4 linked regions of the Drosophila melanogaster genome follow. Changing the gene in region 1 together with any one later gene gives a genetic interaction. Each region holds a gene or a part of one and is shown on either strand. Other genes may lie near its edges. The genes, in order: Pten, Rheb, Tsc1 and Akt.

The links.
Region 2: of Pten (region 1) and Rheb, changing one suppresses a phenotype caused by changing the other (phenotypic suppression), as found in Drosophila melanogaster (2 studies listed by BioGRID).
Region 3: of Pten (region 1) and Tsc1, changing one suppresses a phenotype caused by changing the other (phenotypic suppression), as found in Drosophila melanogaster (2 studies listed by BioGRID).
Region 4: of Pten (region 1) and Akt, changing one suppresses a phenotype caused by changing the other (phenotypic suppression), as found in Drosophila melanogaster (6 studies listed by BioGRID).

What each region holds. Positions count from the first base shown.
Region 1 is NT_033779.5:10,255,800-10,262,998, reverse strand, and holds Pten (phosphatase and tensin homolog), read left to right. Parts: upstream 1-1,949; 5' UTR 1,950-2,145; exon of another isoform or gene 2,146-2,414; 5' UTR 2,415-2,745; intron 2,746-3,011; exon of another isoform or gene 3,012-3,308; 5' UTR 3,309-3,423; coding exon 3,424-3,523; intron 3,524-3,585; coding exon 3,586-3,758; intron 3,759-3,825; coding exon 3,826-3,970; intron 3,971-4,083; coding exon 4,084-4,271; intron 4,272-4,342; coding exon 4,343-4,450; intron 4,451-4,601; coding exon 4,602-4,764; intron 4,765-4,825; coding exon 4,826-4,935; intron 4,936-5,005; coding exon 5,006-5,221; intron 5,222-5,282; coding exon 5,283-5,604; intron 5,605-5,876; coding exon of another isoform or gene 5,877-5,881; exon of another isoform or gene 5,882-6,089; intron 6,090-6,492; coding exon 6,493-6,512; coding exon of another isoform or gene 6,513-6,546; 3' UTR 6,547-6,680; downstream 6,681-7,199. Other genes in the region: Rsf1 (repressor splicing factor 1), read left to right, coding at 1-183; CG5676 (uncharacterized protein), read left to right, coding at 7,184-7,199.
Region 2 is NT_033777.3:5,567,051-5,571,026, forward strand, and holds Rheb (Ras homolog enriched in brain), read left to right. Parts: upstream 1-1,870; 5' UTR 1,871-1,989; exon of another isoform or gene 1,990-2,155; 5' UTR 2,156-2,172; coding exon 2,173-2,221; intron 2,222-2,349; coding exon 2,350-2,421; intron 2,422-2,524; coding exon 2,525-2,732; intron 2,733-2,791; coding exon 2,792-2,921; intron 2,922-2,977; coding exon 2,978-3,067; 3' UTR 3,068-3,441; downstream 3,442-3,976. Other genes in the region: CG12746 (uncharacterized protein), read left to right, coding at 1-310; CG2931 (uncharacterized protein), read right to left, coding at 563-1,471. UniProt on the Drosophila melanogaster protein: Binds GTP and exhibits intrinsic GTPase activity. Activates the protein kinase activity of TORC1, and thereby plays a role in the regulation of apoptosis. Stimulates the phosphorylation of S6K through activation of TORC1 signaling.
Region 3 is NT_033777.3:24,128,588-24,135,189, forward strand, and holds Tsc1 (Tsc1), read left to right. Parts: upstream 1-1,719; 5' UTR 1,720-1,817; intron 1,818-1,908; 5' UTR 1,909-2,078; coding exon 2,079-2,172; intron 2,173-2,232; coding exon 2,233-2,489; intron 2,490-2,550; coding exon 2,551-4,861; intron 4,862-4,918; coding exon 4,919-5,076; intron 5,077-5,202; coding exon 5,203-5,332; intron 5,333-5,389; coding exon 5,390-5,742; 3' UTR 5,743-6,067; downstream 6,068-6,602. Other genes in the region: GatB (Glutamyl-tRNA amidotransferase, subunit B), read right to left, coding at 1-35, 99-235, 305-729, 785-1,100, 1,165-1,278, 1,337-1,481, 1,535-1,596; Sec10 (secretory 10), read left to right, coding at 6,327-6,359, 6,420-6,602.
Region 4 is NT_033777.3:16,097,609-16,105,237, forward strand, and holds the start of Akt (Akt kinase), read left to right. Parts: upstream 1-1,619; 5' UTR 1,620-2,052; intron 2,053-3,151; exon of another isoform or gene 3,152-3,171; intron 3,172-3,291; 5' UTR 3,292-3,335; coding exon of another isoform or gene 3,336-3,578; coding exon 3,579-4,118; intron 4,119-4,186; coding exon 4,187-4,384; intron 4,385-4,449; coding exon 4,450-4,839; intron 4,840-4,902; coding exon 4,903-5,136; intron 5,137-5,204; coding exon 5,205-5,351; intron 5,352-5,422; coding exon 5,423-5,506; 3' UTR 5,507-7,629. UniProt on the Drosophila melanogaster protein: Serine/threonine kinase involved in various developmental processes. During early embryogenesis, acts as a survival protein. During mid-embryogenesis, phosphorylates and activates trh, a transcription factor required for tracheal cell fate determination.

The sequences.
Region 1 (7,199 bases):
GGTGCAAGCAGCTATAATGGCAGAGAGGGCGGCGGCAGCGGCTTCAATCGCCGCGAGGTTTACGGCGGTGGACGCGACAGCAGCCGCTACAGCAGCGGAAGTAGCGCCAGCTACGGACGCACTGGTGGTCAGTCGGCCGGACGCTTCAGGTCCCGCTCGCCGGTGGGAAACCATCGATTCTAATGACAACACCACTCATAGTTGCTTAAGGATTGCCTATGAGTAAAGATTAATAAATAATAACTTAAGCGCGACCGTAAAACGCAGACTCAAACATTTAAAATCGTAGCATTCGATCGTTTTCGATCGTCCAACAGATTCCCTCATTCCCCCACATCAACAACAACAACAGAATGATAAAAAAAAAAGAAAAAACAAAAAACTGATAGTCGTCGTCTCTTCATTATTTATTTAACGAATACCCATTAACATGACAATTGCAAGCACGTAAAATTTAAGTTATAACGTAGAAAACTAGTAAGAAAAATACGCTAAGACTCGAACAACGTCAAACCAAAATCTAGAAGTACGCAATTTTAATAAAGGAAATGCGGAACAGTTTCTCGTATACATAAAAGCTTTCGCAAAATAATTGGTCTAAAACATTAAAGAATTTTGAGAACTCGGAATTGTGTAGGTGTTCATTTTTACAGAACCTCTTATAACCATCGTAATAAACCCTACGAAATGAAGCAGTCAGCAGTCCGAAACTGGTAAGAAAGCGTTTTCGAAAATCTGCTTTGTTTTCTGAATCTCGAAAACCTAAAAAGCAATAACCGCCAAGTGTTTACAAACAAATCATTGACTTTACGTTTTGGTAAGAAATATTGCATGTGTACTATCCATCGATCTAACTTTTTACCTATTAAGACAAATACTATACAAATCTATAACTTATTGTAGTTGGGTCGAAACGGCAAAAATCTAGCCAATGCTGCAAGCAACTATATTAAGCGCATCGGTTTTAATGTTTATGTTTTATTTCATTTAACTAAATTAACAGGTCATTTGTTGGAGTATCTCTTAACGTCACTTTCAGATTTATTAGATTGCTTAAAGTTCAAAACATAGCTAAGCAATACTTATGATAACGACGATTAGTTAGTTAGCCCAAGGGGCTATTAAATATTTAAACGATGGACTGCAGAAACTTTTTAAACAAATAAAAAGCGAGACAAATAAATGAGAAATTGGTTAACACGGCAAAACACTTGTTTTTATTTCTTCGTCTTCGAGTCCTTTTTGCTTCAATAACATTTACTGATGATTGGCCTATTTTGATTTATTCAAGTTACGAATTAAAGTCAACAGTTGAGAATTAAGTGGTACCAAGAATTCATTTTGCGGAAACCAACTAGCCTTAAGATACGAGTGTAATTTTTAAAGTTTTGAAAATTTTTTAAAATTTTAAATTATTCAGATAGCAGGTTTTGCTTTTGAATAAAGGAACTTTAAATTCCAATCATATTTATGTCAAAATAATCGAATACCCATAAAAAACCTGTTGCACTTTTATCGATTGTAAATAAAAAAAGAGAGGATTACATTAATGGTATTACCCAAACTGATAGTTTTCAATAGCATTTCAATGGCTGGAAAAAAAAATAAATAAAAGGTATTCGTAAATCTTAAAAATGTTTGCGTTTTAAAAAATTGCATACCAAAAATAATATTGGTTTTGCAAGAAATGGAATTTTTAATAGCTGTAGCAATATTAGTTTCGTGGGTAGAACTCGAGTAAAAGATGTGTTGGTAGTCATGTTTTTGGTAGCATGAAGTTATATGTGTGTTGTTTAATAAGATTAAAATAAATGCATAGATAATTACATATTGTTTAAAACCGCAGTGCTAAAAAATAAATGGTTGTATCGATGACCCATCGATAGTTTTTGCATACACAATTTAATCGAGAGGGCACCACGCACGTCGATAGCACTGGATGTACATTTTCTCAAATCTTGTGGTGGTATCGCTCGCCGTAAACACCCTGTGGATCTCACGCTTGATAAATTAATAATACATTTAATAGAGCATGAGCGCTACTGTTTAACTTTTACACATAATTGAAAAGTTTTATTTGAAATTTCGTGGCTTAGAGCAAAACATGTGATAGCTTTTTGAAATGCAGTAGCCAGAACCTGCTCGGTTGGAACATTTAGCTTATTGACTTAAACATACCCATATGCACATACATACATATGTATTAAACAGTGGGCACATATATTCGTGTGGTGCTGATAGTGTAAATGTGTAAAATGTCTGTGGAATTGTAAATATGTTTTTGTTTAAACAAATATGTACATAAATGCACAAAAATCGGTGCATATATGTGCACATGCCCATCATCCATATCTGCATATTTCTGTACATGCATATGTGCTCTAACTACAATACATACCACCATTCGCAAACAGTTTGTCAAAAAAGTGTGTCTACTCGGCGAGATAAAACAAAAAACAGTTGCCAAATCAGTCGCTATGTTAAGTAATTCGAAATTACTGCTCGGTGTTTCTAAAACGGATTTTGATTTTGATTTTCACCCCTCGAAAATCGCCCCCTCAGCCAACGAACCCATTTAATTGCTCGAATTCGTATCGAAATCGCCGTGCGTTGGGCTTCAATAAAAGAACTCTGTTCTGTTAGCCAGTTACAATTAAAACCAGGACCATTTGACAACCAATCTGAATGTATTATGCCAAGCGGAAGATTGTTATATTGTTTATCTTTGATAATATGCCGATACATGTAAGTATGTTTCACGTGTGTGCCGCAAATGCCTGCCTGTGTGTGTGTGTGTGTGTATGTACATATGTGCGTGTGCATGTGCGAGTGTGTGTGAGTGTGTGCATGTTTGTGCTAAGGATATTTGTGGATATATAAACCGAACTGAAGTTAACTCTTTACCTGTTCCTGGGAAAACAAGTAGGGAACTATTCCTATAGAGAGTGCACCTCTGTCTGTATGTGTATGTACGTGCTTAAATATGTATCCAAGCAAGAACTGCAAACAGGAATATATCTTAGCCGAGTAAGAAGTATTAGTTTATATAGAACAACCTAAGTGGATCGGGAGAAAACAAGCCCATTATATTAGTTCCATATATCCCTTTAGAATGCCTTGGCACAGTATAATTAAGCAGTTTCTATTGACCATATTAGAAACTTGTCTGCTGTTAAAGGATTTAGGTTTGAATTCGCAGTAGAAAACTAAGCTGAATTGAGTCAATACTTTTCTAACTTGCTGTGGAAAATAAACAGATTAGTTAGAATCATATGCATATTAATTAATATGCTTTACATTCCTTTCAGAACGTACACTTTGCAATGGAGTAAATAGAAGACAAGCACTGGTTCCCAAATACATTTGAATGGATGCAGCTAATCTAATTTAAATAAAAAAGACAAGTCTTTAAACCTTAAAAATATGGCCAACACTATTTCGTTAATGTCCAACGTGATACGCAATGTAGTGAGTAAAAAACGTATACGATACAAAGAAAAAGGATACGATTTGGATTTAACATGTAAGTTATTGAATCAACCGCAATCATTGGAATATTAAATTAAATTATCTATTTACCCACAGACATTAATGATAACATAATTGCCATGGGCTATCCAGCACCGGATAAACTAGAGGGCCTATTCAGAAACCGTCTGGAAGATGTCTTTAAGCTATTGGAAGAGAATCATGCCCAGCATTACAAAATCTATAACCTATGCTCGGAGCGTAGTTACGACGTTGCTAAATTTCGCGGGGTAATTTTGTTGAACTTTTTCTATTTGTCGGCGTAAAATATGTAAAATATACTATTTCGCATTACAGAGAGTAGCTGTTTATCCGTTCGATGATCATAACCCTCCAACGATTGAGTTAATACAACGATTTTGCAGTGATGTTGATATGTGGCTCAAGGAAGATTCGTCCAATGTTGTAGCCGTGCACTGTAAAGCTGGAAAGGGCAGAACCGGTAGGAAATGTGTTCAACATTTTGTGCGAAAGTTCATAAATATCATGGCACACTATGATCTTGTTTCGATATTTGTAGGGCTAAAAAACTAACCCAGTTTTTTTTCATTTCAGGTACCATGATCTGCGCATATTTAGTGTTCAGTGGAATTAAAAAATCCGCCGACGAGGCATTAGCGTGGTATGATGAGAAGCGTACAAAGGACCGAAAAGGTGTGACAATCCCATCTCAGCGTCGATATGTTCAGTATTTTTCCAAACTAGTTTGTTCAAGTGTTCCATATTCGAAAGTAAGCCTTAACGTGAGTATTTCCAGCAGCAGCGCCACATTCAGCGCCGTACAAAATCTAAATATGCATTTTTTGTATCTCAGGTATGTGAAATACGCTTCTCGGAGTCCAGTTGTGTGCAAAACTTAGGCATGGTAGAATGTTCAATATCTGTATTACACGACTCAGCCACAGAAAATGCAAAGCCAGATGTAAGTATATAAAGTATATAGATACATCATTGATAGACTATAGACAGCATTTTAAAAATGTATATTTCACACGATTTCAGTGCAGTAAAGTGTTCCTTTTCGAATACCTTTCTAACCAGCAGTAACATTCTTCTTTTTTTTATAATTGCAGAGACTGAAAACCTTGCCGATTGATTTTCAAAAATCATTTGTTTTGACCATTAAACCATCAATACCAGTTTCCGGCGATGTAAAATTTGAACTCACAAAAAAATCCCCAGATAAAATCATTTGTCACTTTTGGCTAAATACGTTTTTTGTACGAAACTATTCACGTAAGTATACTTAATATCGCACATGCATTAAATAAACGATTTAATTAAACATTCTCTTTAGCTTGCGAGTCCGATGGAACAGTTAACAAATATATACACACTTTAAGCAAATCAGAAATCGATGATGTACATAAAGACAGTGAACATAAAAGATTTTCAGAAGAATTCAAGGTAGGATATTTCGAAGCATTTTAATAGATGCTGCGAAATTACCAAATAAATGTGCTTGCTCTCTTTTCAGATTTCAATCGTTTTTGAGGCAGAGAATTTTAGCAATGATGTTCAAGCTGAAGCGTCCGAAAAAGAGAGAAACGAAAATGTTTTAAATTTCGAAAGATCAGACTATGACAGTTTGTCTCCAAACTGCTATGCCGAAAAAAAAGTCTTAACTGCGATCGTCAATGATAATACAACGAAAAGTCAAACAATAGAAACGTTGGATCATAAGGATATAGTTGTAAGTGAAAACACGTTTTGCGCCGATCAATATGCTTAATCTATAAATCTAATATTCGTAGACTAAAATTCAATACGACACATCAACCAATTCAAAAAATACTTCGACTGCGTGCAAACGCAAACAGCCTAATAGCAAAACTCTTTTACCAAGCTTGAATGATTCCACAAAAGAGGAAATAAAACGAAATCATATATTTAATCAACCGTCCATTAAGAAAACTGATTTAATCAAATGGCAGAATAGTGAAGTTCATATCACCTCTGACACTCGAAGTATAAACGAAAATAAGAACATCAATTACAATTCATACATCACATGTAAACAATCCTCTCCAAAATTCAACTGTGGTACCGAAGATGGCGAGGAAGATTGGGAATCCGGTGAGTTTGCTGCACACTATACTCTCAATGACCAGATCTCACTAAAAATCTATCCGTTTTAATCGAGTAATACCGAACAATTGTTCTAATTTCACATTTATTTAATACTAAGAGTTTCGATTCAATTGATTTCTGGACCATTATCGGTTTGATTTTGTAATTAATTGTATTGTATGAGTATTCAAATTAAGATTTGTTAAAAGAGATAGCCTTTATCGACATATGCTATCGTCCACACATTTATATTCTTATTGACTTATTGAATTCGCCAGAATAATCACCCGAGACGATTTAAAAGACTTCTGGCTGAACGATCTCTTAATTTTGATGTATAAAACGAAGCCACCAGAACTGGATTTATATGTCCCCAAGACTTTTACGAGTATACTAGCAGAGACAGGCTTACACAGATCCACTTCCTTTCACGGGGAAACGATCGATTACAGCTGCGCTCTGCACATCTGTTTAGAATTTAATGTACATAGGTGAGTGAGTGGGAGCCCATGCCTGCGGCTCGAATGGTCAACTAACCGGCAATCCTTAATCAGTATCCGCATCGATTTTCATCACACATCCCTCACCGCTTCATAAGTATGTGACTCTGGGCACTGCCATTGTCCTTCTACTCAATTCATTTAACAAAACTAGCACCGAACTGTCGAACTTCGACTAATTCGACTATTTCACTGTTGCTGTTGAAAACTAAATATCCTGAAGCAGAATGTGTCTTTTGTGTGTTTCATCATCATCAAAAGTCTTCTGCTTTTAATTCATTCATGCTATTTTGATTTTTATCGTATTCTCGTTGAGTTTTAGTTAATAAATTCATTAAGCTTGTTTGAGCAAAAAAATCTAAACTAATAAATGAATATTTTTCTTTATTTCCAGGTGAATCAACATACCTGTAATCAATGCTTATTACGGACTTATAATTCTTGGTGATTTAGCAAAGTAATTAAAATTGCTAAGTAATTGGCTAATCTATTCGAATTTGTAAATATACTGTATGATATTTATTTAAGTAGTTTTAACAATTATTTTAAATAAACTCATGTACATTTTGTATTGTAGATTTCATTCGAACTTTGGGTTTTTGTCTAAAGTAAGGGGGGAGAAATAATTGACGTTTAGAAAAAAATACTTAAATTTATAGTTTTGATCTCGAAACTAGTTTTCGACACGAAAAGTGCAGCGATTAAATGGATATCTCATATTTTATTGGAATTTAACTAATAGTTTCAAATGAGGCAATAGCTAAGATAAATAAATAATAAGAGGTTCTTGAAATTTGCCAATTGTTGTGCAAAGCATACAGGATTCACAAAGGTAATTATCAGATTAATAATAAATATTCAAAGTATGATTATTCCAGTTTCTACGTTAAGTGCTACCAGTTATTTTTCTTACTCTTTTTCCCATAATTCCCCTAACATATGTTCCACTTCCGAGTTCCAATAAACCCAACACAAAAATGTTGTCCAAATTGACGCTATCTTGACGGGCATATATTATTGTGTTAAATTGACGTAAACTGGGCGGTCAGAATTTCGCATCTTAACGTCGACATCTAATTTTAAAAATGACTAATTATTCGG
Region 2 (3,976 bases), on another chromosome or scaffold:
ACCTCTGTTTATCGCACTGCTGGTTGCAGTTAGTCGCACCTGCGACTACCACCACCACTGGCAGGATGTGACCATCGGCGGGCTGATTGGCCTGTTTGCAGGCTATATAAGCTACACACAATACTATCCCTCCATCTTCTGCCCTGATGCCGGCATACCACTGGTCAGGTGGCCCAGCAGAGAGGGAAGCCAGTACCAGCGACTGTCTGGAAAGGACGACAATGGCAGTCGTGGTCCCCACCATCTCGATGGTGGGGATGCGGTGCGGAGACCTCTGCTCGCTGACAAGGAGGAGTCCAAATGGTACTAAAAGCTTTACGTAATATTATTGTGAGTGTTGCTTTCCCGTTTAAGGTTTTTAAACATATTAGACAATTTCTGATTTAAAAATGTGCTGCTGGTTTACCTCGTAATAGGATGGGTAGGGTTTGTTAATAAAAACTAAGCGCGTCAATTGCTAAACGTAAATTTATTGCTCATCTTTAGCAGCAACATCCAAATCTAATTTGCTACATCAAAGTGACCGAAACTAGCCTAAAGGACACGATATGCACACTCAGATTCAAGTCATGGAATTGAAGGCCTGCAGAAGCACCTGTTTTTCGCGCTCCTTTTTCTTAACTACGTCAAGACTGCGTTGTCGCCACGTGCTCTTGCGCAGTTTGATAGGCCGGCTGCCCACATAGCGGCCGTCCATCTCCTTCATGGCCCGTATAAAGTCGGCCGGTTCTCTGAAGCTCACGAAGCCAAATCCCTTGCTCTTGCCCGTGCGCTTGTCCCGCACCACACGGGCCCGCTGAAACGAGGGGAACTTGTTGAAGGTCCGGGTCAGGACCTCGTCGTTGACGTCGTTTCCCAAGTCACCACAAAAGATGCGGAAGTCATCGTCGGGCCAGTCAGCCAGCGAAGTATCCTCCCACACGGTGCCGCCAGCGATACGCACCGTCTTGCGGTCTTTCTTTTTCCGCTCTGTTGTCTGGAAGGATTGCAGCGCCGATGATGCGCGCGCTGCCTTAATGGCCTCCTCTGCAATGGGATTGGGTCCAGACTTTTCCGCCTTGAGCTTCTTCAGCTTCTGCGTTACGTCAAAAGAGACGGCGTTGATGTCGATGGAGGGCGCGGCGGCCACGGTGGGCACGTGCACAGACTGCCGGCACTGATAAAGTTTGGGGGCGCTGCTCAGGACTACGGGAGTGGCAGACATAGCCTTGGAAGAACCACCTCCACTGCCCGTAGGCACGAAGGTGGACATAAACGTGGGTGGAGGCGGCATCGGGGGCGGGGGTACGGTCAGACGCGATCCTCCATTGCCCTGGTGATGCTGCAGCTTGTGCTGCGAGTTTTGGTACGTATTGGCGGCTATGATCGGGCGCACCTGGTTGGGCACGAAGAGATTGCGGGCGGGGGGCTTCGAGATCTCCGCCTCGAAGCGTGAGAGCTCATCCTCGATGTTGCGACGCTTTGTACCCATTTGAAGTGGGGTTTTCTCTTTTAAAAAATCAAATCAAAGCAAGTTTTTACGAAAGTGCTGCAGAAAACTCGGAGTACTAAACAAATATCGATTTCGTTCCCAATCGATTGCACTATTTTTATTTTAAAGGCCTGTTTAGACATGTCCACAGAATCAGGCTCTATTTGCAATATATAACAAATAAAACAGTTATTTTAATATCATAAAACGAAGACATTTAATATGTTTTAACTATTTAAGAAAATAACTGCGACTTTTTACACTTGATTACGACAAGCACCTTTCCGAACGGGCCTTGATATTTTCTGCAATTGTTGACCGTTAAACTAGTAGACGATAGTGTAGTGTGACGGTTCCTCATTAGCTGGCAAATGCCTTATGTTAGTAGGCTAGGAGTGGTATTTCGGCTTCGTCGACACCAGCACTGATTCAACTTCAGAATTACTGTTTTCTTTTAGACGATCTGATAAATAATACTGGAATTAAAATCGCCGGAAAAGCTCTAGCTGTGATAGAAAGTATCCTCAGCAAGCAAAATAAACGCAGAAGCAATATTCCTCATACACACATTTAAAGAAGGAGCACGGGCATACCCACACAAGCGCACAAAAAGTCGAGGGGCGACAGCAAAAACAAAAGTGTGGAAAATCACAAAACCAATAAATTTCTCCATTTATTTCAAAGCACTGGGCCCCAGGAAAATGCCAACCAAGGAGCGCCACATAGCCATGATGGGCTACCGATCAGTGGGTGAGTTTTCCCAGAAAGTTCCGCCAGAAGCACTGACACTGTTGCTGCTGGCACTGGTAATTGCGTAGTATTTCGACAACAGCAAGAACTATGATCAATTGACCATAATAATTACGCTTCGCCCGCAGGCAAATCGTCGCTATGCATACAGTTCGTGGAGGGCCAGTTCGTGGACTCCTATGACCCCACCATTGAGAACAGTAAGTGTCACATCCCATTCCGTGCGGATTTCTTAGAAGCCAGGCTGACTCCATGCTTCGATAGCAGTAGCAATGCGTAATGATCGGTAATTCCCATTCGCAGCCTTCACCAAGATCGAGCGTGTAAAGTCGCAAGACTACATCGTAAAGCTCATCGACACGGCGGGCCAGGACGAGTACAGCATATTCCCGGTGCAGTACAGCATGGATTACCACGGCTACGTCCTGGTGTACTCGATAACCAGCCAAAAGTCTTTTGAGGTGGTGAAGATCATATACGAAAAACTGCTCGACGTAATGGGCAAGAAATAGTAGGCTTCTTCCCCGTGGGTTCCGCTTGAGAGCTAAGCTAATCTTTTTTGCCTTTCAGTGTACCTGTGGTGTTGGTCGGCAACAAGATCGATCTCCACCAGGAACGAACCGTTTCCACGGAGGAAGGCAAGAAGCTGGCCGAGTCCTGGCGAGCTGCATTTCTCGAAACGTCCGCCAAACAGAACGAGGCAAGTACCAAGACGAATCACACTAGCTGAATGCAACTAAGGTACTTCCTTCGCAGTCCGTGGGAGATATATTCCATCAGCTACTGATCCTCATCGAAAACGAGAACGGCAATCCCCAGGAGAAGAGCGGTTGTCTTGTATCGTAGGGCGGCTGAGTAGCTAAAACTACGGCCGAACTGTTGGAAATACGGCAAATCGCTATGGCAATACGAAAATCGATTATCTCTTATCTACACAGTTGGGTCAGCGTGCATGGCGGGGCCGTACCCTTTGTGCGCAGCAGGAAAATCTAAAAATCTAATAGACCTAGTATTCTTAAGACCACACAGCAAGTAACCAATATCAAGCGATCTGAATGCGTCCGCTAAACGCTGCCCAGCAGGTTTTGTGGTTCGCGTCTGGCGCAACACAACAGGTTTAAGTTAGTACGTTTTTTTTACAACAACAATTCAGTTACAAATTTCATATACAAATTCTGCAAACTTTTAGTTTCAATTTAAATATAATTTTTCAAAATACTATTCAAGATTGTATTTTAATGGTCAACATTTTCGATTGTGAAAAATATAGAGGTTGATTTACTAAAGTTACAAGTGCGTCGAGAAGACCTGCCAGTTGCAATTCCAAAAAGCTGGATTTACTTTATCTCGTCCCTATAACTGATTAAATAGGACCAATACCTTAATGATTTCTATAGATTCCCAACCGTTGTGAATTCTCTGGAGACCAAGGTTCAGCAAGTAAAAGAACTGGGAGGATCTCGGTATGGTTCTTAATAAGAGTAATTTCAAACCAAATTACTATTTGGATAAACTGAAAGACTCACCTGGCCACTCTAGCAATATCTGCATCTGTTAGCAAAAAAAGGGGTCTTTAAATTTTAATACCGCTATTTCTTATGTCACAATTGGTCGGACGAATTTGATTGAATTAAGATTTGGCTGGCTTAATATTTCTAAAGACTGATTATAGAAAAAAGACATAGAAATTATTTCGCATTAAACCGATTATGAATAAAAATATTTCTTGTCTTACTTATCTTAAATCTAAAATGC
Region 3 (6,602 bases), on another chromosome or scaffold:
TTAATATATCTTTCAAATCATCAGCCTTAATGGAGCTACATTAGGATGAACACAATAAATTAGTAAAATTCATTAGGTATGTTACTCCCTATTATTACCAATCCTCCACATCTAAGTTCAATTTGTTGCAATAGGTCAACAAATCGTTTATAAGAAAATTGCAAATGACTTTGTTGGGCAAATCACTTAAACTACGGGTAATGCTCAAGAAATGATCCAGCAGAATAGGTTCGTTCTGAAATAAAATCGAGGAGTGTTGCAATTTCAAATTTTTTGTTGACTCAAAAAGGATCAGAGCACGCACCACTAAAATGATGGCAGTTTCCGCATTCAGGTTGTGCTGCTCCACCAAACGTTGCCTGGTGTCCTCTGGTAATTCTGGAATTTCCTCGCTTAGAGCAGCCACTGAAAGTAAATCCTCTGTTGACATTGATCCAGGCTTTAGGTTTACATGAAGGGGTGGTAGATTCGGCTCCGGCATGAATCTGTAGTCCTGCAGCACCTCTTTGTCACGCATGGCCACTGTGCGCCGGTTCTCCGCATCCCAGTTGCGAGTCTCATTTGTAATTACACCGCCATTAGCCACAGTTTCTAGCTGTCTATTAATTTCATACGTAATTGCTTGCGAAATGCTTCGAACCGAGCCAATGTTTTTTACTTCGGTGCGGACTCCCAAGGGATCGCCTTCTTGGTGAATGGATATGTTGGCATCCACACGCAGGGCGCCCTCTACAATAAAAAATACTCGGTTTAAAAAAAGGCACACAAATCCCTTTTGACTCACCTTCCATTTTACAACTGCATGTCTGCAGACGCCTTAGTATCAGTATTAATTCCTTGACCAGCGATGCCGCTTCTTCGCCCGTTTCTAAATCTGGTGCAAAAACCAGCTCCATTAGAGGAAGTCCAGCACGATTAAGGTCAACCAGGCTCCTTTTGAGATAATCATCGTGCAGAGATTTACCACTATCCTGTTCCAATTGCAACTGCAGTAGTTTGGCGGTCTTGTAGTAAACTTTTTTGCCTGGTGTTATCACGGGGAAAGTCATTTTTCCATCATTGGCCAAAGCGGCGCGCTGCTGCGTGATTTGGTAGCCATTCTGGGGAGGAGAAGTTTATTACTTATAAGGCTTAGCGTGGTGTAAACTGAAATTTGAATCTTACAGGCAAATCTGCATAGAAGTAGTGCTTGCGGTCAAACATGGACACTTCGTTCACCCGACATCCCAAAGCAAGTGATGTCTTAATGCCGGATTCCACACATTTTCTGTTGAGAACCTAAAAGCAGAGGATACAATGTAATGATGGCGTCTTAAGTGAGAGTACCTATTCTCACTGGCAATGTTCCCGGTATGGAGGCATCAAAATACGCCACCGAAGAGTTAAGTGGTGCTCCAAAGGATGTGCCACTGCCGGAAAACAGTTTGGACGCACTGGCAATCTGTGCGTGCACCTCCAAACCCACAACGCTTTTCCATTTCCTGAAATTCAGAGCGTTGGAATGAATCCTTATAATATTAATTCACATAATTACCTTTTGGGAACGTTGGCTAGCTTTGGCGCCGTTACCAGTTTTCGGATTATTGAGTAATGCATTATTTTACATCGATTATAACATTCGCACCGGAATTGGCAAAAAGTTGCGCCAAAACAGCTGATGTTGTTTTGATTGCGGCCAAAGCTGCCGGACATTCGCCAGCGGCGTTGCCAGACAAAACCATCGATTGGCTGGCGATAACAGCGCAAGAGGAATATCACAAAAAAATAACCTTTTCATTTTCAAGACAAACATGTAAAAAAATATGAGTTTAGCAGAGGTAAGCATTTTAAATGTGCACTCCACAACCGAAACAATAGTGCAGTGCATCGAACGCAGTGGGAATTTCAATGCCAACCCTTGTTCTCCAGTTCACAGCGACCAAGACGAGAAAAAGCACACGCAGCTCTGCAAAAGACAACCACGACGACGAGTGAGTGGAGTAGAAGGACCAGGAGCGGAGTAGCAGGAGCAGGAACAGTCGACCGAGGGCGGGCGGAAAAATCAATCATAGCGACAGGAAACCAATAAAGCCGCCGTCATGGTGATTGAGAAGATCATTGGTGACCTGGAGTCCAACATGACGCTGGAGAACGAGGAGGCCAAGCGCAAGCTTGTGGAGTTGCTATCCCAGAGTGAGTCCTCGCCAGTTTCAGTTAATATGCCACCTATTCCAACATACCATTTCCCCACAGACAAGGAGCAGTGGGTGGTAAAGTTCATGCTGGACTACTTCTTTACAACTGGATCTCAGCGCATTTTGGAGGTACTGGTCAAAGCCCAGGCACCTCACGATGGGTACATCTTTGACAAGCTGGACGACTGCCTAAAGCAGTCGCAGCACCGAGTGCAGAGCCTCCAGGTGTTCTGCTTCATTGTGCGCCATCACCCTACTTGGCTGTACAAGATCGAGAAACACCGGCTGATCAAAAGTGTTTTTAAGCTTATGACGGTGAGTTTATGGGTGTTTACAATTTTGTCCGAGTTCAGCATCACTTCCATTTCTCTGACAGCACGAGAAGGAGATAGTTCCGCTGATGAGCGCCCTGTTGTGCATAATTACTCTGCTGCCGATCATACCGAATTCTGTGCCCAACTTTCTTAACGATCTGTTTGAGGTGTTCGGGCATTTGGCCTCGTGGAAGCTGCAGAATAGCAATAAACTGCCGGACGAGAAGCTCGTCCACCTGCAGTTGGGTCTACAGATGCTATTTCACCGCCTGTACGGCATGTATCCGTGCAGCTTTATTGCCTATTTAGTGGAGTTCATCAAGCGAGGCAACGGCGGGGGCATCTTCCAGCATACAATCAAGCCGCTGTTGAACACTGTGCGAGTGCATCCCATGCTGGTGACGGCCACGCCAGAGACTGAGGTAAACAATACGCGATGGAAGGAGATGGAGCCGCATGACGTGGTTATGGAGTGCGCCAACCTATCGCTGCCCGTCCTCTTGCCCGAGACGAGCAACGAAGACGGCAGCTATGCGTATCCCATGACGCCAGGATACAGTCGCATGACTTCAAATACCTCGAATACGGACTACAGCTATCAGCTGAGGGAGTTTCAGCAATCGAGAAATGTCTACACCCGCTTCGATTCGTTTGCCTCGGGTGATGATGTGGGTCCGATCTGGAGTCCGCATAACGAGATTGCCACGACCAGTAGCGGCATACCGCTTACACCCACCACATCGTTTATTTTGCCACTACAACCGGCTATGAACTCTCAGCTTATGGTTGGCATGACTGGCTCCTCACCGCCCGAAGCAGCTGTGGAGGCCACACCGGAAACCACCCCCTTAAAGGATATGAGGGATATCAAGCAGCCGGGACGTGCGGTCAATTCGCATGCTGTGAGAGCTATCTTCGCCGTAAGCCAGCCTTCTTCACCCATGCGCAAGGACCAGCAGAGTCAGTTCAGTTTCCCGGATGTCTCTCGCGAGGCGGAGGAGAGCAGCCACTCATATCTGGAGGTCAACAGAGGAACTGCCTATGACCGTCGCCTGTCGCAGGTCATCCAGGACAGGCATAACGTGGAGCGATCTGTAAACACACCTTGTCCAAGCAGCCTGCCAGAAATTAACTCCGATTTATCCCTTGTTGGTGGTTCCGTCTATCCATCTGTCACGCAGGAGGTCGCTGCAGTTTGTGGCGAGTGCAACGAGACGGATAGGAACCTCTGCAGTGTGGGTGGACTTCATATGCCCACCAGCCGATCCATGCACCAGCTGGCAAAGAAGCGCCGCAATCGTATGGCAAGCTACAGTGGAAATGGTTCCTGTGCGGACAGCAGAAGTTCGGCGGCAAAGAAGGCAAGTTGGAGTACTGAGGCAGAGAACCCAATGCGACGAACCAAATCCTGCTCGGCCCTTTCCGGAATGCGGCAGCAGCATCTGGAGGAGAATGATGACGAGGCCGATTGTTCGAGCCAAAGACAAAGAGGGGAGAATGGAAATACGCAAAAGACTGGCAGCCGCCTGCAGAGGAGCGGCCGGAACCTGGCCATTTCGGCGCCCAAGGATACGGCTAGAAGCTGCACCCATGCCTCCACCCAGACGGTGGAAGGACTGGACAGTGCTCCAGCGCAGTACGAGAATTGGCTTATTGAACTCCTGCTGGAGTGCAAGGAGCAAAGAATCGACTATGAAAGGAACCTTCTGTACCCGCAAGATATTCTAGACGAATACATTAAGCATGCGATCAAGGCCAATGAGTCCTTTGACGCCGAGCAGGGTCAACTGATGTGCCTACAGCTGGAATACGAAAGCTACCGTCGATCCATTCACGCAGAGCGCAATCGACGACTCATGGGGCGAAGCAGGGACAAGCGCAGCCTGGAAATGGAGCGGGATCGGTTAAGGGAGCAGCTTAAGAACTTCGATGCGAAGAACAAGGATCTGGCAAACAAAATGGATCAGGCCATTCGGTTGGCCAACGAGCGCCAGAACATCCACCAGGAGGAGCTGGGCGAAATGAGGGCTAAGTACCAGCACGAACTGGAGGAAAAGAAGTGCCTGCGGCAGGCAAACGATGACCTGCAGACGCGACTCACCAGCGAGTTGGCGCGCCACAAGGAGATGAACTATGAACTGGAGTCTCTGCGAGGTCAGGTCTTCAGTTTGGGAACCGAGCTTCAACACACCCAGCAGCAGGCGGACATTGGGCTGCAGTGCAAGCAGGAGCTGGCACGACTGGAGGCCGAGTTTATTATCATGGGTGAGGTGCAAGTGCGTTGCCGCGACCGTCTGGCTGAGATCGATAACTTCAGGGCCCGCGACGAGGAACTGCAGATGCTACAAGAGAGCAGCAACCTGGAACTGAAGGGTGCCTATTCATTGTTTATATGATACGGATGTTTAATCATTCAGTTTATTTATTAAGATCTGAGGCACAGCCTGGACGAGAAGACATCACAGCTGGAAAGCATGAAGCACAAGATCAGCGACCTGCAGGCCCAGCTAGCCAACAGCGAGAAGGCCATGACGGAGCAAAAGCGACTTCTAAGCACCGTCAAGGATGAGTACGAAGAAAAGTTTAAGGTAGGGCTGATATTTAAAATCGTATACTTATCTGAAATAGTTCGGACTTTTAAGAAATAGTCTGTGTTTACCAGTAACTTCATTTCAATTAAGAGTAATAAGCCTTAAAAATCGTCGTCCTTGCAGTCCGTGAACAAGAAGTATGACGTGCAAAAGAAGATAATTATGCAGATGGAGGAGAAGCTGATGATGATGATGCAGCAGCCGCAAGGAACAACAGGTCATAACACCTGTTCCCCGGACACGGACAGAACTGGTGAGTGCAAGAGCTGCTTCGCAGCTAAAGAATACTTACTATTGCATTCTCCCACAGACATAGCTTCATCCATTGAACGCAACTCACCGCTATCCACGTCGCTGGCCTCGAGCGAGAGCTTATCCGCCAGCCTACGCTCCACGGAGCTGAAGAACCTGCACCAGCTAGTGGACACGCCCACTATTCCGGATGTGCTGAACAGCATGGCCGGTGGCGCTCAGTTCGAGGACGAAGTGCGTCCGCCGGCCGTGGATCTGGCCTCCTCGGCAAGCACCGCCAGTGCCATCAACATCGTGCCGCACGCCTTGGACTTGCCGTCGACCTCCGGCGGCATCGGTCACACGCTCACCCACCCACATCCGCATCCGCACCTGCACCTGCAGCAACAGCAACAGGATCAACTGCAGTAGTAGCAGCAGACGCAGTTTGTAAAAACAAATAAGAACTAGCTTTCCTTCGCTAAACAAATGTCTATTGGGAAAACCCGCACAGAAAATTTACAAAAAAAAGTTATTGGTTCTTCATATTTTCATATTCAGTTCAAAACTGTAACTAAGGTTTAATAAATCGCTGACTCCACGCAATAATTATAAAGGTTATAAAAAATATTAATGTTTGAAATTTTAACTTGTTTAGCACATTGCAATTTGTTGTAAAAAAGTGGTTTTGATACGAGGCAATAAGTAAGACGCGCATTCATATTATAATAAACATTTGATTAAGATCAGCAAACATAAAAGCATTGTTTTATTTTATTTAATTGTAAACATACTATTTGTTATATAACAACCGCCAAACATTTAAATTTTAGCTAAGAGAGCAAACAAAAACGTAAACAAACCGAGCGACATTGCCAGCTGAAAGAAAGTGAGAAGTGTGGCAACCTTAAACGAAACAGCTGAGCGGAAGCAACAATAATATAGAAAGAAGAAGCAGAAAAGAAACGCCTATTAAATCAGATCATTTAAATACGAAAACTTAATAATACATTAAAATGCTATCCCAATACATGGAGGAGTTTGAACAGGTGGGCTCAAAGGTCACGTAGGCCCGATTATGGCTTATATTTATTAATCATAACCAACAGGAACCCTTTGAGGTGGGCGAGTTCATAGAGCGTCTGACTTGGCGCACCAACAATGAACTCCAGAACAGCGAGGACTTTCATCCTGTGGCCCTCCACGATACCTTCATCCAGACCATTAAGGACCTAAAGATCCTGCAGGAGAAGCAACAAAGCAAGTGCGAACGGCTAGAGGAGTCACTGCGC
Region 4 (7,629 bases), on another chromosome or scaffold:
CTTAGGTGCTAGCTGCGGAAGGGGGGCGTTGGTGGGTTAATGCGAAGTTCAAGGGCGTGACCAAAAGTCTGGACTAATTCGATTTGCACTGTTCTCTTTGCTGCGCTCTATCCAGGGGTGGATCTAGACAAACGTGCAGGGCATACCGTTCATTTCCAAACTTGAAATTACAACTTACATTTTTAAAATCAGTAACACAATTTTAATTCACTGAATAGTTTAAAGTACGGTATTTATGTGATTTGATTTTACAAAAACATTTAAGGTGCCCATAATCCACGTTTAAGGTCCCCTGGATTTCGCCCCTGTACTGCTCAGTCCTGTTCTCTTCGTATTGCTATCTCGCTCTTACAATTGCACAGCCACTTCGAGCAATGCACCCGCCCGCACAACAACCGTTATCTTGCCACGGTGTTTGTGTGAATGTGCACATTTGCAAATCACATAAACAATGGCATATTTCTTCACTTTTGCACCCACATTTCTTCTGCTGCGGTGGCGGCTTTACTTTTGTCATTGAGTCGTTGCCATTTGCCCTGTTTCTGTTATTATTTATTATTCAATTATGCGCTTTCTTTTCCACAGCTAGCATACATTTGTTTTGTTTTCACACGGTAACACACACACACACAAAGAAAGGGGGGCTCGTGGCTGCGTTGGTATTGATTGCTCGAGACTGCACTCTTCCCTTCTCTCTACACCATCTCTTCATATTTTTCATTTCTCCAACTAATTGAATGCAACCGATTCTGCCTCATTACTTATGCTCATGCTTTTCCAATTGCTCATATTCGGCGAACGCTCTTATTCGGCCACAGCCCACAGTGATACACACGATAGGCAGAAAAAGAAAGTTGAGAGTCAATAACACCTTTGTTTTTGCACTTTTCTACGCCTTTTTTGATAACACACACAAACATTGGGAGGGACTCACGCACACACAGTCGCGCTGGAGTCGTTATTTGTTTATTTGAAAGTGGCATGCTATGTTCTCCCTTCCGATTGGGTTGCAAGTTATTTACCTCGTTTTGTGCCAATGGGGCACTTTATTCGCTACTCGTTTTTTGTTTTTTTTTCGGATTCAAAGGAGACTTCGCGTTCTGCATAAACAAATCTGAGCAAGAGTGCCCAAAGAGGTGAATATCAAATTTGATCTGGGAAACTGGAAAAGAGAACTGACTTTTTCTAGCTACTTACACATGGTCATACTTATCAGAGTATCTACTTAGTGCGGACAGGAACCATATATAAAATTGATAGGGCTTCCAAATTTTTGATCAATTATGCTTTGAAAAGTTATAACAATTTGTCGATATAAGAAATAGTTTTGTATACATAGCATATAAAATAAAGTTTTTAAAAATGAATTTAATAACAATACAGCATTATTATTAATCTGCAGTTCATACATTCAAATTTGAAGTGAATTCTAGTTAAAGAGTCGGCCTAGACAGTCAGAAAACAGAACTATTGCCTTCTAAAACATTTAATTTAAATTTAAGGGATATTTGCGCGTTGTACAGCTCTTAAATAATGTCTCTCTCTGGCATCTTTCCACCGTAACAGTCGCCTAACTATCGCTAAAACAGGTGGCAACGCGGATCGAATCAGTTATCGAGCCAGTTATCGAAAAAAAGTGAAGCGTAAAAACTAAACGGTACTTGGAAAATTTACTTTGCCTGTGTGCGTGCTTCTGTTTATGAAAACTACGTTTTTAAGCATTTGCAATTGATGCAACGTTGCTTTGGAAGGCAAGAAAACACCAAGTGGAAACGCCCGGGTGGCGGAAATCGACTTCCAGTGCGCGAGTGCGAGATTGTGTGTGTTTCGTTCCGTCCTCTGGTGTCTGGCACCTTAACACAACAACAACTACAGCAGCAGCAGCAACAACAACAATAGCAAGCAGCAACAACAACACACGCACAATAATAAGAAGGCCTGTGACGTTGTCGCTGCCGTCACCATCTAAAGGAAAATACCAAAACGAGTAGGAAAACAAACCGCAGTGCAGTAGGGAAAGCAAAAGTCGGGTTTTTTTTTTTACAAAACTAGGTGGGTTCTTGTATTTTTCACCAGCATTTCCACAATTTCCATTTCCACGAAGTGATTTGACATGTTGCGCTGCTAGGTCGCCGCTGCCCACACACACTCGCACACTCGGTGGTTCACTCACTCAGCCACTCACACCCACACGGCCAGACAATCACACGCACACGGCCAGACACTCACACATACACTCACACTCATACACCTTTGTGGCAGACACGCGTACTGTCTGTCTCCCTCCCCCTCGCACCCACAGTCTGGCCTCACTCGCACTTTGCAATGCAGCCCTGTCTGTGTGACTGCCTCGGTGTGCGAGCGCCTGTCCGCTTATGCCTGTGTGTGTATTTTGTCGATTTTTATTTTATGTACATTTGTTTACAGTTTTAGATAGATAGCGACATTTGTACAGCCGGCGGCCATCCGTCGTTGACATTTTCGCAAATTGTAAATGAATATGCTTTTGCTTTTGCAGTTGTGCCAGTGTGAGTGCGAGTACGAGTGCGAGTGCCGCCTGCGAGTCCCCTGTATGTGTACATATGTATATGTATGTATTATATATGCATATACATAAGTTCATGAACAGTCGCCGCCGTCGACTTGTTTTGATTTAATTTCGCGCTAAATGCAATCGCGAACAATTTTCACTCGTATCGCCGTGTCGCTGCGTAACATGGCGGGGAATTTCGTTTGAAGCCGAAAGTGGCAGCAACAACAAGGCGACGATGGCGCCTACATCTGCATGTGGGCCAGTGACTAAGAATCCAATCCCATACCATGCCACACCATACCAACCCATCCAATTCGATACAATCAGAATCACAGTCCTCAATCCAATTCAATCCCTTTCTGGCGACGGAAATGCCGCAAATGTTTTGCACCAGCTGCTGACGCAAGCGCCAACTGCATTTGTCATAAACATGCAAAATGACAATAACAATTGTTTACTATCAGCGTGAGATAGGCGATGTGGGAAGTATATATCTGGATAGACTTGGCAGCCTTTTAGTGTCTGTTTCCCCTTTTTTGATAGCTAGCTCATTTGGGAACTCCATTTGTCCACTTTGACTAGTTTATGTCGACAGTTGGCGGATCAGTTAATATCTAGTACATGTTGAATCCCTGAAGGTAAAGGTGTTACTAGACGAACCCTCTGCTAAAGCCTTTTTCTTTTCGTCGATCGCATTCTTAGTTTAAGTATTTCAAACTCAGCATGAATATAAAGGATTCACTGTACTCCTCTTACAGGTCCCTCATTAGCTTGTCCCTAGGGTTAGTGAAACAGCCTCAACACGAATTACCTACCGTTTGTTCTTCAGCGGCGATCGACTGTGGTTGCCAGCGCCCCAGCGCCAGGATCTGCCTCTAGGATCCCGGAATCGCCCACCACCACAGGGAGCAACATCATTAACATCATCTACAGCCAATCCACCCATCCAAACAGCAGCCCCACCAGCGGCAGTGCAGAGAAATTCAGCTGGCAGCAATCCTGGCCAAGCAGGACCTCCGCGGCCCCTACACACGATTCCGGAACCATGTCAATAAACACAACTTTCGACCTCAGCTCGCCCAGCGTTACATCGGGTCATGCGCTTACGGAACAGACTCAGGTCGTAAAGGAGGGGTGGCTGATGAAGAGGGGCGAGCACATAAAGAACTGGCGCCAGCGCTACTTCGTGCTCCACTCCGATGGAAGACTGATGGGTTACCGCAGCAAGCCGGCAGATAGTGCCAGCACGCCATCGGACTTCCTGCTCAACAACTTTACGGTGCGCGGCTGCCAGATCATGACCGTCGATCGGCCCAAGCCATTCACCTTCATCATCCGCGGCCTGCAATGGACCACGGTAATCGAAAGGACATTTGCCGTCGAATCAGAATTAGAGCGCCAGCAGTGGACGGAGGCCATTCGCAACGTATCCAGCCGGCTCATAGATGTGGGTGAGGTGGCTATGACGCCATCTGAACAGACAGACATGACAGACGTGGACATGGCCACCATTGCCGAGGACGAGCTTTCCGAGCAGTTCTCCGTACAGGGAACGACTTGTAATAGCAGCGGCGTTAAGAAAGTGGTAAGTACCACTCACCTGGTCATTGACCAAGGGCGTGATCGAGCTGACTCCATCTTATCTCCTTGTAGACTTTGGAGAATTTTGAGTTCCTCAAGGTGCTCGGCAAGGGCACCTTTGGTAAGGTTATTTTGTGTCGCGAGAAGGCTACCGCCAAGCTGTACGCGATCAAAATTCTTAAAAAGGAAGTTATTATCCAAAAGGACGAGGTGGCCCATACCCTGACCGAGAGTCGTGTGCTCAAGTCCACAAATCATCCGTTCCTCATTGTAAGTATTGCTAGTAATATATAATTTACGTTAAAAAACTAATATATGTCTTCCCTGTTTTGCAGTCACTCAAATATTCGTTTCAAACCAACGACCGCCTGTGTTTTGTGATGCAGTACGTGAACGGTGGCGAGCTCTTTTGGCATTTAAGCCACGAACGCATATTTACTGAGGATCGAACACGTTTCTATGGGGCAGAGATCATTTCTGCTCTGGGCTATCTGCATTCACAGGGCATAATTTATCGCGACTTAAAGCTGGAAAATCTTTTGCTGGACAAAGATGGTCACATAAAGGTCGCAGACTTCGGTCTGTGCAAGGAGGACATCACCTACGGCCGCACAACGAAAACCTTCTGCGGTACACCGGAATACCTAGCTCCGGAAGTATTAGATGACAATGATTATGGCCAAGCGGTGGACTGGTGGGGCACTGGCGTGGTCATGTACGAGATGGTGAGTTTGTTGCATCTGCAAATACTATTAACAAGTATTAAAAACAAAAATAATTCCTTACAGATCTGTGGTCGTCTTCCGTTTTACAATCGTGATCATGATGTGCTCTTTACATTGATTTTGGTGGAGGAGGTAAAATTCCCGCGTAATATCACAGATGAGGCGAAAAATCTGTTAGCAGGCCTTCTAGCTAAGGATCCCAAAAAGCGTTTGGGAGGTGGAAAGGATGATGTCAAGGAGATACAAGCACATCCATTCTTTGCGAGTATTAACTGGACAGATCTAGTGTTGAAAAAAGTAGGGCACAGTAAATCTGTCAGTTACCTATTCGTATATATTAATCGAATTTAAAATGCTTACCGTAGATACCGCCGCCTTTCAAGCCTCAGGTGACATCCGATACGGATACAAGGTACTTCGACAAGGAGTTTACGGGAGAGAGTGTGGAGTTGACGCCGCCGGATCCCACTGGCCCGTTGGGCTCCATAGCCGAAGAGCCGCTTTTCCCGCAGGTAAGATCTAGTTGAAAACATTTAAAGTGGGGTTCTGTATGCTCATCCAATTTTTGGTTTCACCGCCACAGTTCAGCTACCAAGGAGACATGGCCTCCACGTTGGGCACCTCGTCGCACATTAGTACTTCCACAAGTCTCGCATCGATGCAATAGAACAAGTTTACAAACTTTTACCAGCACACATCATGTTCTGCTTCATCACCTATTACTATACTATACCTATAACACATAGAAATGGGCAAAAGAAAACAACAGCAAGAATATATTAAATATTAATTATACCATGATAACGAAGGCAAGCAAAGGGTTTTCTTGCTAGTTTATATACACCAATAATAAGAGAATTGAATTGATAGTAACTTATTTTTGTATAATGAGAAAGGGAACGTTGAACGAAAGGGCAACAGCCGAAGCCGAGGAAAATAATTTACTACATATGATTATACACATATATATAAATATATATATATATATATATATAATTATATATACAACTAAATATAACACTTGGGGCATAGCGCTTGAAGTGATTAGTTAATTTTAAACGCAAGGAAAACATTTAACCAAGCGACTTAGAGCGACTTAGTGCTAGGATAAAGCATGCATCATCGGATCGCATCCTCTAGGGGTCGCTTAAGCTGATTGATTATACAGATTATTCACGCAGACAGCACTCACACAGCCACTTAGCATATAGCGAACATGAAGTTTAGTTAACTTGACAGCAACAAATCGAAATACACATATTCAACAACCGCCCCCACATGCAACACTCGTATATATAAATTATTTATACTCCAAAGAAGCAAAAAAGAAACAGAAACAATTACAAGTTATATATAATGTTAAAATTGCCTCTAATGTGCTGTGCTTTATGCAAAACTACAACAACAGAAACAAACAAACTAATAGTTAATAAACGAGGGAAACATACATCAATGCAGTTTATAGGCGCCAATAATTAGCAAGCAACTAAAAGTTATATTCAGGCAGAAACATATTTCGAAACAATAACGGCAACAGCAAAATGATTACAATTGACGCCATTTTTTATTATAATTTTTTACGAAAAATATATATTTGTAAATATTTATAAAAAAAAAGCAAAAACTCAAGAGTAAATGCAAAAAAAAAACAAAGGATGTATGTGTCGTGTGGAAAATGGAAGTCACCATTTGAGGCCACAGAAAAGGTTTAACCTTTGACACAATAAAAAATGTATCTTTGTCATTTCATTTTTGGCATTGAAAAGTTCATAACAAGTTTTGTATACTTAGAGCAAGTCAGCAAAAAATATATATAAATCAACCACAACAGACTTACAAATAGTTCCAAAAGGAAGATTAAAAATTATATAAACAGAAAAAAAACCTAAAAGAAAATAAAGAATTTTTGATATTTTTATATGCGCAATAAAAACAAAAATCAAGAATAAAACGAAACAAAAAGTTATTTTATATTTCGTAAAGAAAACAAAATAAATATTGTAAATAAAAATTATTAAATAAAATCAAGTTCGGGAATTTCAACTGAAAACAAAGAAATTGAAAGCATAATCTCTCTTCTAAATGTTAAACGAAACCTATCACTCGATGATTACAATAAACAGCAAATCGAAAACGAAGGGATATAGAAACGAAAAGAAAATGCCAAAGAAGCGGCGAAGTTAGGTGGAACTCGAGGAGAACCGAGAATTGAGGAGCCAGCAAGTCGGGATGTTTCGGTTGGAGTCTTGGACATGTGACGATGATGGTTCCAAATCATGACTAGGAACGAACTAACTAGCTAAAGCCAGCCTATGCTGAGGAGAGATATCAGATAGCTCCGATTGAACCAATCTTTATATCCTTGAACAGCTTAAAGTCCTTGCTTTCTGCTCACCAAGTTTGCGGCTGACATCTAGGCTAGCCAATATCAATCTCAGATCGATCAAGCAATACATAGACAAAATATAGAACCCCTAAGCATGGCTTAATAGACATACAACCCGAGAATCGACTTCAACAAGCCCAATAACCCTTCTGACAGACTCGTTAGGCAAGTCTGCCAGCCAAGGGGCAACCAGCTAGAAATCTAAAGCAAAGACTTAGAAATCGGTTAGGGACATCCGAAGCAAATTGAATACTAGCCTTAGTGAACGTCAACATCTCTGGTATCCCAAATCGAAGCATTTTCTACCCGTCGAAGGGGACGAAAGAGACCTTTCAAAATAGTTGTCTAAGTTTACTGAGTTGTGTGAGACAATTTTTGGTTTCGATTAAAAAAAAAAAAACAAA